3 linked regions of the Rattus norvegicus genome follow. Each later gene encodes a partner of the first gene's protein in a complex. Links are inferred from orthologs where the notes say so. Each region holds a gene or a part of one and is shown on either strand. Other genes may lie near its edges.

What was found.
Region 2: Ikbkg (region 1) and Chuk share a complex: the UniProt entries of both Homo sapiens proteins name them as parts of the I-kappa-B-kinase (IKK) core complex. The link is inferred for Rattus norvegicus from reciprocal best matches to the Homo sapiens genes IKBKG and CHUK.
Region 3: the proteins of Ikbkg (region 1) and Ikbkb are in contact, whole or in part, in a crystal structure (PDB 3BRV), measured with the Homo sapiens proteins. The link is inferred for Rattus norvegicus from reciprocal best matches to the Homo sapiens genes IKBKG and IKBKB. Residues at the interface, in NP_001093327.1 of Homo sapiens: Arg62, Ile65, Arg66, Asn69, Leu72, Arg73, Arg75, Cys76, Leu79, Phe82, Gln83, Gln86, Lys90, Leu93, Met94, Phe97, Ala100, Arg101, Val104; in NP_001547.1 of Homo sapiens: Ser705, Leu708, Glu711, Ala712, Leu715, Cys716, Leu718, Leu719, Ala722, Ile723, Asp725, Thr726, Glu729, Gln730, Gln732, Phe734, Leu737, Asp738, Trp739, Trp741.

The regions. Positions count from the first base shown.
Region 1 is NC_086039.1:157,386,306-157,389,954, forward strand, and holds part of Ikbkg (NF-kappa-B essential modulator), read left to right. Parts: intron 1-112; coding exon 113-255; intron 256-2,752; coding exon 2,753-2,814; intron 2,815-3,124; coding exon 3,125-3,267; 3' UTR 3,268-3,649. UniProt on the Homo sapiens protein: Regulatory subunit of the IKK core complex which phosphorylates inhibitors of NF-kappa-B thus leading to the dissociation of the inhibitor/NF-kappa-B complex and ultimately the degradation of the inhibitor.
Region 2 is NC_086019.1:252,941,356-252,945,530, reverse strand, and holds the start of Chuk (inhibitor of nuclear factor kappa-B kinase subunit alpha), read left to right. Parts: upstream 1-1,257; 5' UTR 1,258-1,355; coding exon 1,356-1,460; intron 1,461-1,510; exon of another isoform or gene 1,511-1,891; coding exon of another isoform or gene 1,892-1,918; intron 1,919-4,175.
Region 3 is NC_086034.1:76,056,499-76,060,147, forward strand, and holds part of Ikbkb (inhibitor of nuclear factor kappa-B kinase subunit beta), read left to right. Parts: intron 1-366; coding exon 367-474; intron 475-3,449; coding exon 3,450-3,579; intron 3,580-3,649.

The sequences.
Region 1 (3,649 bases):
ATGTACTATCATGGGATCCCAGAAGACAGGACTCTGTTCCTCTGGACATGGCATAGAATGCTTGTTGGGAAGCTGATGGATGGTGGGTGAACACCTCTGTTCTGTTTGCCAGGCGGACATCTACAAGGCTGACTTCCAAGCTGAGAGGCATGCCCGGGAGAAACTGGTGGAGAGGAAGGAGCTTTTGCAGGAGCAGTTGGAGCAGCTGCAGCGCGAGTTCAACAAGTTGAAAGTTGGCTGCCATGAGTCAGCCAGGTGGGCCTCTAAGAGTGCAGCCAGGAGCACAGCCATAGACAAAGGAGGTGTACTCTAGGCAGCAACCAGTAGTAACTATAGGAGATGGATGGTTCTTAGCATTAGTATTAAATTCCCTGTGCCTCCTTCTACTGCTCTCTTTGTATTCTGTCCTTCCAACAATGACCTTTCCCATTGGAAACTAGAAATGTAACAGAAATGTATGTATTGAGATGTATCTAAGGCTGGAGGTTTCATAGCTTTCATACTGTCTTAGTTTGGTTTCTGTTGCTGTGATAAAGACAATAACTTATAGCAGCTGGGGAGGAAAGGGTTTATTTTAGTTTACAGTTTATAATCCATCACAGAGGGAAGTCAGGGCAGATATCTGAAGGCAGAAAATGAAGCATAGTCAAAAAATGCCTTACAAACTTGCCTATAAGCCAATTTATTGTAGATAGTTCCTTAATTGAAATTCTCTTGCCAGTTTGTGTGAAGTTGACTAGTCAACCTTGTCAGCTTGACATACAAACACTCCACTGTTAAACCATAACCTTTCCTTTCTTGTTTTTTCTCCAATTCATGTCAATATCACAATATAAAATATAAACTTAAAAGTGTCACAGTCTTTAAAACATTCCATCACTCTTTAAAAAAAAGTTTAAAAGCCTAGAATCTCAACTGTGCTTCTATAAAATAATGTTATATATTTTTTTACTTCAAGAGTGAAGAACCAGGGCACAGTCACAATCAAATCAAATCAAAACCAAAATCCAACAGTGTTAAAAAAAACCCACTGTTGATGCTTGCTGTCTGGTGCCCACTCATGATTCTCTGTGCTCTAAAGGTCTTGGGCAGCTATACTTACTTCTCTGCCTCTGCCATTCACAGGACACACAGCTCATCTTATAAGCTCAACCTGTTTCTTTTCCACAGCTGCTGCTCTCCTTGGTGGTTGTCTTATGGTACTGGCATCCAATATGCTAGGATTTCCACTGCAGCTGAGGATGTACCTTCACCAATAGCTTCTCCTGACCTCTGAAATAATGCCAAGCCCTTACTTTAGCTGCTTTCCATGATCCCTTCATATTACTTGGCCCCCTCTTCTTTGTGCTGACCCTGAAGAGATACTCTCTAGATTCTAAAAGATTTCACCTCAGTGATGCTGTTCCTAATCACAACTAATTTCTCAGCTTCAGTTAACCAGTATCAATTGTCCTCATAAAGCAAAGGTTTTACTTCAGTTCTGCTGATCTCTTTTTAATCACACCTGATTCTTCAGCCCCAGCTGACCAGAACTACAGACTCTTAATTCAGAATACCACACAAATGACCCTGATAGAATCTTTGCTTCCCTCTGAAACTTCATCATTTGCATTGGTGTCAGCATTATTATCTTCCTTGGCTCCCACAGAATAGCCCTTTAAGCCCTAACCTCTTGATGGCACTTCCAGCCCAAAGTTCCAAAGTCCTTCTACAGTCTTCCACAAAACAACATGGTCAGGTTGGATCTGTCTCAGCAATTCCACAAAAATCTGGTAACATTGTCTATCTTAGCTTGGTTGCTATTGCTGTGATAGACACCATGACCAAAAGCAACTTTGTGGGGAAGGGTTTATTTCAGCTTACAGTTGTAGTTAATCATGGAGGGAAGTCAGGAAAGGAACTTGAGACAGGAACAGAAGTAAAAACCATGGAAGAACTACTTTTTGGCTTGTTCTCCATGGCTTGCTTTCTTTTACAACCTAGGTGATTGCTCAAGGGGTGGCGCTGTCTCTTAGGGAACTAGGTCCTCTCACATCAATGAAGAAAATGCTCCAAATGCTTGCCTATAGGTCAGCCTAATGGGAATATTTACTCAATTGAGGTTCCCTTTGATCAGATGACTCCAGCTTTTGTCAAATTGACAAGCAATAACAACAACAAAACCTAACCAGTGCAAATATATTTATCTAAAACCTAAAAATATGACTTTATTTGGTTTAGAATCTTTGTATATGTAACTAGTTAATATAAGGTAACATTAGGTTAATTAATTGACTGTGGTACTTACAGAAGCACCAAATTAAGATAACAGAAGGCAGCCATAAGAAGGCCAAGGCAGACTCTGGGATTCAGCTACAAGCCAAGAAATATCAAGCTGTCTGTACACTACCACCAGCTAGGGCTAATTCTGCCCAGTCCTCTGACACTTTGATTTAGGGCACCTAGCCGCCTGTATCATGCATGTTTCTGTTATTTGAAGTTACTAGATGTGTGGTGGTTTGTAACAAGGTTCTGAGGAAACTAATACAGGGAACCCAGGAAGTAATTGCTAATAAGTACAAAGTTTCCTTTGGAGATGATGAAAATATTCTAAAATTATATGGATGATTGAATATGCTGAATAGAGTAAAACCCTCTAACAATACTGTTTAAATTGGTGAATTGTATATAGTATGTGAGTTATATCTGAATGAAGGTATTTATTCATAAAAATTCCTACAGGCACTGATTGAATATTTTCTGTTTTCAAAAGGATTGAGGATATGAGGAAGCGGCATGTAGAGACTTCCCAGCCCCCTTTACTCCCTGCTCCAGGTGAGTGAATAAGTGGTAGATGGTGGGAGGAGATGGTTAGGGAGGGCAGAATGTTGTGCTGAGGGGAAGCATGTGTTGGCTTCTCTGCTACTCTGCTTTGGGGAGTTCTTGTTGACCATTCCTGTCAGTAGCCCATCACAGTCTGAGGTCAAAGGAAAAATATGCTTGTAGAGGTGGCTCCCAGTTATGCAGTCAAATATGGTGGTATCAGTAAGTCTCATCACCTTGTTAGCCTTTCTGTTTTAGGCCTACATAGGCTGTGCTAAATAGTTACATAGTCCATCATACTCCTGTGTTCTTTTTTTCTCAGCTCACCACTCCTTTCATTTGGCCTTGTCCAACCAGCGGAGGAGCCCTCCTGAGGAACCACCTGACTTCTGTTGTCCCAAGTGCCAGTATCAGGCTCCTGATATGGACACTCTACAGATACATGTCATGGAGTGCATAGAGTAGGAGCAGCAGATTCAAGGCCACCTGTAATACTATGTCCCAATCTGTGCAACTTATGCTTTCCCGTTTCACCTGCGTAGTCCACAATTAAGTGCTTAATGTCAAAGAGTGGGTCCCAGGAACTAGCAGGACCCTTGCTTTAGCCCTTTGGTCTGCTAGTCCCCTATTAGGGTAGACAGCTCCATTCAGGGCTGTTTTTTTTCCCTTTTTTCTTCTGTGTGCCTGAGCCACTTCGCCTCTGGTGGCTTCTTCTTCCCTCTTCTCCCATTTTCTTAGGGAGTCTAGAATGGAGGCCAGGGGCTCTCAGGGAGCATCCCTTCTCCAAGCAGGGCTAGTGCCTCTCTTCAGCTAGTGCCTTTCTTGCCAGTGAACTGCAGGCTCTCCT
Region 2 (4,175 bases), on another chromosome or scaffold:
CACTCACAAAAAAGCAAAGAAAAACAAAACAAAGCCCCAAGAATTTGAAAAAAAAAATCAATAAACTTTGAGTTGCATTTTAAGAATAGAATATTTAAAGTGAACTGACTGTAGAAACCAGCTTGATTAACCCAGTCAACATTATCTTGGCTGGAGTTTTCATCGTCTCTCTTCTTATGAAACTATTATGAATCTATATCCCATCTGTGGAGATGGGGCATGCCTTTCACGCCTATCTCTGTCATACACTGCAAATGAGGCTTCATATTGTTAGACTGTCTCCTCTCCTCTAGAGATGTTCTCTCAGAGGCTAATTTCAATTACCTTCAAGTCCGATATTCCAATTCCACAGAAGACATGAAAAGAATAGAAACCAGCTTATCGAATACAACTCACTATTAGTGATGCACAACATCGAATTGCATGCTGACAATGAGCATCCTTGACTTCAGCCCAGTGGGGTGCTACAAGCCTGTAATCCCACTCTCAGAAAGATGGAGGAATAACAAGTTCTAGGCCAGGCTGGACTGTATTGAGATCCTGTCTCAGAACAAGACACCTAGAGAAGCGGATAACCCACTCAAAAGGCTAGGCGGGTTGACGTTCCCTGTGCAACCCACCACTCAGAAGTATTATGCCTTATCGGACCGAGACTTCCCCCAAGCTTGTCTTTGCAGTCATGTGGCACCACTTCAGAATCAATTCCAATCCAGAACCACTTCCCTGGCAAATCTGAAAGAACAAGGCTGATAAGCAGTAAGGTCGGTAGGAAAACTCACAAAGTCCGGAAGAGTTTTTCACTCAGGAATAACGTCACATCCTTGGGTGGTTTGGAATTATAGGAGAGACTCTGACTTAGAAGGCTAATGAATCAACAGGCCGGTTAGCGCAGTTTCCTTTCACATTTACGGAGGCCTTAACCGGTGCCGACCAGCGAGTGTGGTAGGATTCCAGGGGCAGAGGGCAGGACTCTCAAAAAGATGAAATGTTTGCAAGGTAGGGACAATGCGGAGTTTAGGGTTTGGAGAGAGATCTATTTTCAAATAAGAACACGTTGTATGAAACCCTCAAAGAACCAATTAAAATATCTAAACAAAAAATAAAAACAGCACGCTCCATAGTCCTCGCAGCCTGGAAGTTGCCCGGGCACTTAAAACAGAATAGGAATCCGCTCGTGCCCAGCCTACTCGTATGCACCAATCCCAGTGTGACTCGAGACGCACGGGGCGGGACTTTGCTTGCGGAAGCTAGCGGAAGTGACGCAGTCTCGCGAGAAGGAGGACTCGCAAGCCTCGGCGGCCCGGAACCGGCCTCGGACTGGTGGCAGTGCCTGAGGCGGCTGGCGCTCCCGCCCCATGGAGCGGCCCCCGGGGCTGCGGCCTGGCGCCGGCGGCCCCTGGGAGATGCGGGAGAGGCTTGGCACCGGCGGCTTCGGGAACGTCAGTCTGTACCAGCACCGGGTGAGGCGGGAGGCGGGAGCAGTGACGCCGGGTCTGTCTGGGCGTCCCTGGAACACGGGCTGTCAGTCAAGGTGGAAGGGGAGGTGGTCTAGCCCCTGGGCAGTGCTGGGGCCAGGGCAGTGAGCGAGCGCCGGTGATACTGTGCTTGTGAGCCTGGGTGGCCGTGTTCCAGGTGTGTCTGAGGTCCCTGGGCAGTGAGTGACAGGGAGCTGTCGCAACTGTGTGTGGTGATGAGTCTGTGTGCATGTCGAGTGCCCGAGCGTGCGTGTGTTTGTGTCTATGTGTTGTGTGTGCCTGTGTGTGTGTGTGTCTGTCTGTCTGTCTGTCGCCGGGTGCCTGCTCACACTCGCTCGGGAGCGGTGTGATCCACTGGAGACTGGCATAGACGAGGAACCTTTCTAGTGTCCAGAGTTGAACCTTTGGAAACATTGATGGACTTTGGAATTGGAGCGTTTCAGGTAAAGACCAGGGTGGGTGAAGGTAAGTAAGGCGATGAAAATGATCCTTGCTTCAGAGGAAAGGAAATAGACTGAAAGGTGAGGGATTTGTTCTCTAGAAGACAGCTAATGTCAGGCTCAGGAAATTTGATTTATCGAAAAACATGTAACCATTGCAACGGCAGTCACTCGTGCATTTAAAGGATTTTCAAACCAACAGTCACTTTACTTACGATAGTGTGTTGTTGTTAATGCTGGGGGTGGAACACAGGACCTTGCACATGCTAGGCAAATGGTTGACCATTGGGTTTCATCCTCAGCCATAGTTAATCATGTCTGAGTCACAGGTCTTTTGATAAGTCAATAAAAATTATGCATCTTTTCTCCAGAAAAATCCTATCAGTACAAACCAGCACGTTATTATTGACGGTTTTTGCTTTCCTGAAGGATGTAGGGAATAGACCTTGAATACTAATCATTGCAGTGTAGGATTTTTGTTGACTGTAAAATATTTAGAAGAGTATACATACATTCTGGGTCTCTTTGAGAGTTACGTCAGATGTCATTAGAAACTTAGCAAGTACTAGGTAGGCACTGTAATTGTCGGTTGATAGGTCTCCACTGTCATGTTATCATAACCCCCATCAATTGTACGTTTACAAAAGGGACAGTAAAATAAAAATGGTGTTCTGGAGCATCATACACAAGGGATACGTTTTAATTAGAAAAACAATAAGCCAAGTACAGACATGTTAGTAATACCTTAAGATTGGGCCTACCAGGGTTGGTATACTCAGCTGGTAGAAATAGTTCCAGTATTTCATATATACCTTTGAGGACAGGAAGAAGGACATGAAATGATTTAGTTGATTGCTTTATCGGGCATTGATGGTGCTCAAATCAACAAGAATATTATTTTTACCCTGAAGGAGCTTTCCATTTCAGAGAGAGATGGGCATCGGAACAGGTAGGCATGGTGGCATATGCTTGTAATCCTAGTACCAAGGGCTCTGAGGCAAGAGGATTTGGAGCTGAGACCCAACTAGGTGGTCTTCATATTGTGCTCAAGGCCAGTGTCAGTTACATAATAGACCGTGTTTCAGAAATAAACATAAGTACAGTTTGATACCCTAGACACTGGAAGATGTCATAGGGTTTTATTGCTGTGAAGAGACATAATGACCAAGGCAGATTTTATAAAGCAAACCATTTAGTTGGGACTGGTTTCAGAGGTTTGGTCCATTAGCCGCATTGTGGGAAGCATAGCAACATACAGGCAGACATGGAGTCAAGAGTCCAACATGTTGATCCTCACGCTGCAGAAGGAGACTATGTTCCATATTGGATGCAGCTTGAGATAGGAAGCATCAAAGCCCACTCCCACAGTGACACACTTCCACCAACAAGGCCACAGGCACTCCCATGAGGCCATACCTCTTAATAGTGCCACTTTCTGTGGGTCAGGCATTCATGCACATCAATCTATGGAGGCCAGACCTGTTCAAACCACCACATCAGAGGGCTTTTGCCTCGGGGTATTTGAAAAACCTAGTTCCATGGAATCCATTAAAGAAAGAATATAGAAAGGCATGGTAGGAACCCGTGGGAGAGTGAGGCAGGAGGATTGCCTTCAGTTCAAAGCCACTATGGGCCATTAGAGTAAGAACCTTTAAAAAACAAAATGTATGGACTAGAGATATAACTTAGTGGTCACATGCATGCCCTAGGTTCTGTCCTCAGTACTACAGATTCAACCTTCCACACATTGAAAATAATTGTGGGTAGGGTGGGGCTTGGGATTGCAGGAGAAGCATCTACTAAACGTATACCGATAGAGGATTTATCTAAGTTTTGTGCAAGTGCTGTGCTCTTTAATGCAATGGACCCGAGCTTCGACTGACGTCAGGATTCTCTGGAGGTCCTAGAGGCTGCAATCTACATATTGAGCAACAGCGTCACTTTTTCCACACACATTGATAATGTTGCGTGCACTAGTCCTTTTGCTTGGAGAATCATGATTCAAATTAGGAATCCAATTTAAAAGCTCCAAAAAGTAAAGAAATTTGTGTTTTCAAACTTTATTCCTGCCTCATTTTTCAAAATACCAGAACCAGTAGATTCATATTACCATACCTAATGTGTTAGGATTTTATTACTATGAAGAGACAATGTGACCAAGGCAACTCTTACAAGGGAAAACACTTCATTGCAGCTGGCTTACAGTTTCAGAGGTTTAGTCACTTATTACATGGTGGGACATGGTGGCGTTCAGACAGAC
Region 3 (3,649 bases), on another chromosome or scaffold:
TACTCAGATTTGAGTTGTCTCTTTTAAGCCGTCCACATAGAAGTCCACGGTGCTTCCTGGAGAACTTAGGGAGAGAGGCCATGGGTGACCTTGCTCAAGGTTGTCCTGCAAGGTCTCATTTGGACATCCCCGAGCACGTTCTGTTTACATGCTGTGGACTGAACCAGGGCCACTCATGCTACACTCACTGCCACTGAGCTAAACCCCTAACCACAGTGCAGACCACTCACAAACCCTGGGAGAGGCATCCCAGCAGCACACGGACCATTGTTCTAAAAAGCATACAGTTGTGAAGTGACGTTACAAGTGTAAGCTGGGTACTTGCCACTGAGTGACATAAAGGACATCTTAAAATGACACCCGCAGGCACTCTAAAGTCCGGCAGAAGAGCGAAGTGGACATTGTTGTTAGCGAGGACTTGAACGGAACAGTGAAGTTCTCAAGTTCCTTACCCTTCCCCAATAATCTCAACAGGTAAGGCCGTGGGGCTTCGGTCCTGAAGATACTTTTCTCCTCTTCTTAGAAATCCAGGGTTGAGGTAACAGCTGATACTTTTGATTTTATGTTTGGGTGACCAGTGCCTGTGGAAGCCAGAAGAGTAGTCAGATCCCTTGGAACTGGAGTTAGGGATGATTGTGATCTGCCTTGTGAACCTTACTGGGAACCAAACACAGCACTCTTAGCCACTAAGCCCTCTCCAGGCCCTTGGATAACTTGAACAGATATCAGAATACCATTCTGTGATGAGAACTTGACCAGTCCATCTCCACATTAGACATGGGGTGCACTCCCATATCTCATCTCCCTAGAAATCTTTTCTTATTTAATTCTTTGCTTGGTTGCTTGGTTCAATAGGTGGATGGGTGGGTGGGTGTGTGGGTGGGTAGACAGTTGTTTGGTTGAGTGGTTGGTTGGTTGGGTGGTTGGTTGGTTGGGTAGATAGTTTTTTGGTTGGGCGGTTGGTTAGTTGGGTAGATAGTTCTTGGTTGGGTGGTTGGTTGGTTGGGTAGATAGTTTTTTGGTTGGGTGGTTGGTTGGGTAGATAGTTCTTGGTTGGGTGGTTGATTGGTTGGGTAGATAGTTCTTGGTTGGGTGGTTGATTGGGTTGTTGGTTTTTGCTGTGGTGGAGATGAAATTCCTGTCTTTGTTTTTTATTGTTTTGTTTTTTGGTTTGGATTTGATTTTTTTTTTGAGACAGGGTTTCTTTGTGTATCCCTAGCTGTCCTGGAACTCACTCTGTAGATCTGGCTGGCCTGGACCTTGGAGATCCTCCTGCCTCTGCCTTCCAAGTGCTAGAATTAAAGTCATACACAACCCCCTTCTGCTGGAATCTCTGGGTTTGTTTAGGTCAAGCAAGTACTCTAGTGAGCCACACTCGCAGCCCTTAGACTCTCTCTTTACTAAATTTACAGACTATTTGTTTGTCTCATTGTCCTTATTGATCTTGTTCTAGTTTACTTTCTGTTCCTTTTCTATTGCTATGATAAACCACCTGTGGCCCAGGGGTCTACTAGGACAATTGATGCTGGTTACCTGGAACCAAGAAAGTAGTGGTGATTTAGAAGAGACCAGCATCACTTAGGTGAAAACTTCAGGGAAGTGTTTTCTAAGAGCACAAAGAAGCTGTGTTCCAGAGACAGCCAAGGTTGCATCTCATGCTGCAGCTGGACTTGGTAATATGTAAGAGTCACCCAGGTGGTACTGGTTTTGAAGGCATGAAGGGGTCATGGAGAGCAGCTGAGGCTGGGCACTGTGAGAGGCCGTGGAAGCCACTGGTGAAGGTGCAGCCTCAGTTGCAGTTGACAGCACTGACAGTTGACAGTGTGTGTCATTGTGGGGTGGGCTTGGAGACGCTCCTCCTAGATGCCTAGAAGTCAGCAGTCTCCTAGTTCCCTTGGAACAAGATGTCGAACTCTCGGCGCCTTGCCTGCCTCATGTTTAGGAGGCATCGAACTTGCCCATCTTCCCGAGGCAATCCATCTGAGCCCCCTCTTCCCAGGTCACTGTGGGTTTGACATTGGCAGCCGAAGCTATGATGTGGCTCTAGTTCACCTGAGCATAGGGTTTTTCTGTTACACCATGGGAAGGAGGGTCAGGATTTCGCCTTCTTCCTCTGTGTTCCCATCTGGCCTAAACAGACAAACCTTTGAAGTCTGAATGTGACTGTGGTCCAGTCTTAGAGCTAGAGTGTGAGCAGCTCACTACCCAGTCAGAATTGATCATAGCAAAGGAAGCCCCAGGATGACTACTGCAGTGTTGGAGGACAGGGAAGGAGTTGGATGGACTACAGCCATGGGAGCGACTTTGGATGTGCTGTAATGGGGGACGAAGGGGAAAGTTAGATGTAGAGGACATGGGCAGATGAAGTAGAGGAATGTTGATGGGGAAAGATCAGACAGAGCAGAGTCATGTAGGGTTGGCCTTACGTGGCCAGTGTAGGGGAAGTAGGAGGAGTCTGAACATGGGCACATACACCCATTGGATGCCCTCAACTCAGCAGCTGTGGTCAGTCCAGGTCAGAGCTATTTAAGACTTTCACTGGGAGCCTGGCATGTTGGTGCACACCTTTAATCCCAGCACTGGGGAGGAAGAGGCAGGTGGATGTCTGTGAGTTCAAGACCAGCCAGCCTGGTCTGCACAGTGAGTTCCAGGACAGCCAGCAGGTAGGGTCCCTTTGTGTCCCAAGAAATGTTTCTAATACCACGGGAATGTAAATACATAAAGTGTATAAACCAACATCTACTGATAACAAACCGTAAGGAATGTTTATATACCGCAGGAATGTAAGTACATGAAGTACATAAGTAGACGTCTACTCATAACAAATCATAAAGAAATTTAAAAATCCTTTGGTGTACATAGTTACACATGTACATACAGAGACATGGTGCTGATGAGGGAACCACAGAGCCAGGCAAGCACTCCACCCAGCTCTCAAACGCGTTATCAAAGCCTCAGGGTCACTCTAAGGTTTACTGGGGTGACCCTGTCGGAAAGGAGAGGGGCCGTTCCTAAACTGTTAACTCGTTTGGAAGTGTCTATGTTTTCTCTCAGTTCTCTCATTTTCATTTTTGATAATTATCTGGTTGCCACCATGTGTGTTGTGTTGAGACACACTCAAGCCTTCTTTAAAATGTGTGTTTGGATGCACTCACGCACGTGTGTTCTGAGTGTGCACGTGCTCTGGAAGACGACCTTGGCTCTCACTCTTCCCGCACTGTCCACCTTCTCTGTTTCAAGGCAGAGTCTCTCACTGGTCTGAACTGGCTGACTCCTCAAGAATCCGCTTGTCTGACATAAGCACTCGTGTGGTCTTTGGGATGGAGCTTAGGGTCTTGTGTGTGCACAGCAAGCCGCTCCCTCGAGCTGGGCCGTCAGCCAAGGCTGTGCTTTGGTGTTTGCACACTAAGGCAGCCCAGCCCAGACCTCTCTTCCCTTCGCTCCCTTAGTGTCCTGGCTGAGCGTCTGGAGAAGTGGCTTCAGCTGATGCTCACGTGGCAACCTCGGCAAAGGGGCGTGGACCCCCAGTACGGTCCCAATGGCTGTTTCAGGGCCCTCGATGACATCTTGAACTTAAAGGTGAGAGCAGAGCCAAGGCAGCCCTGAGGTGGCAGCCGGGGTCCCCAGAACACAGCAGTTTTTCCAAGGA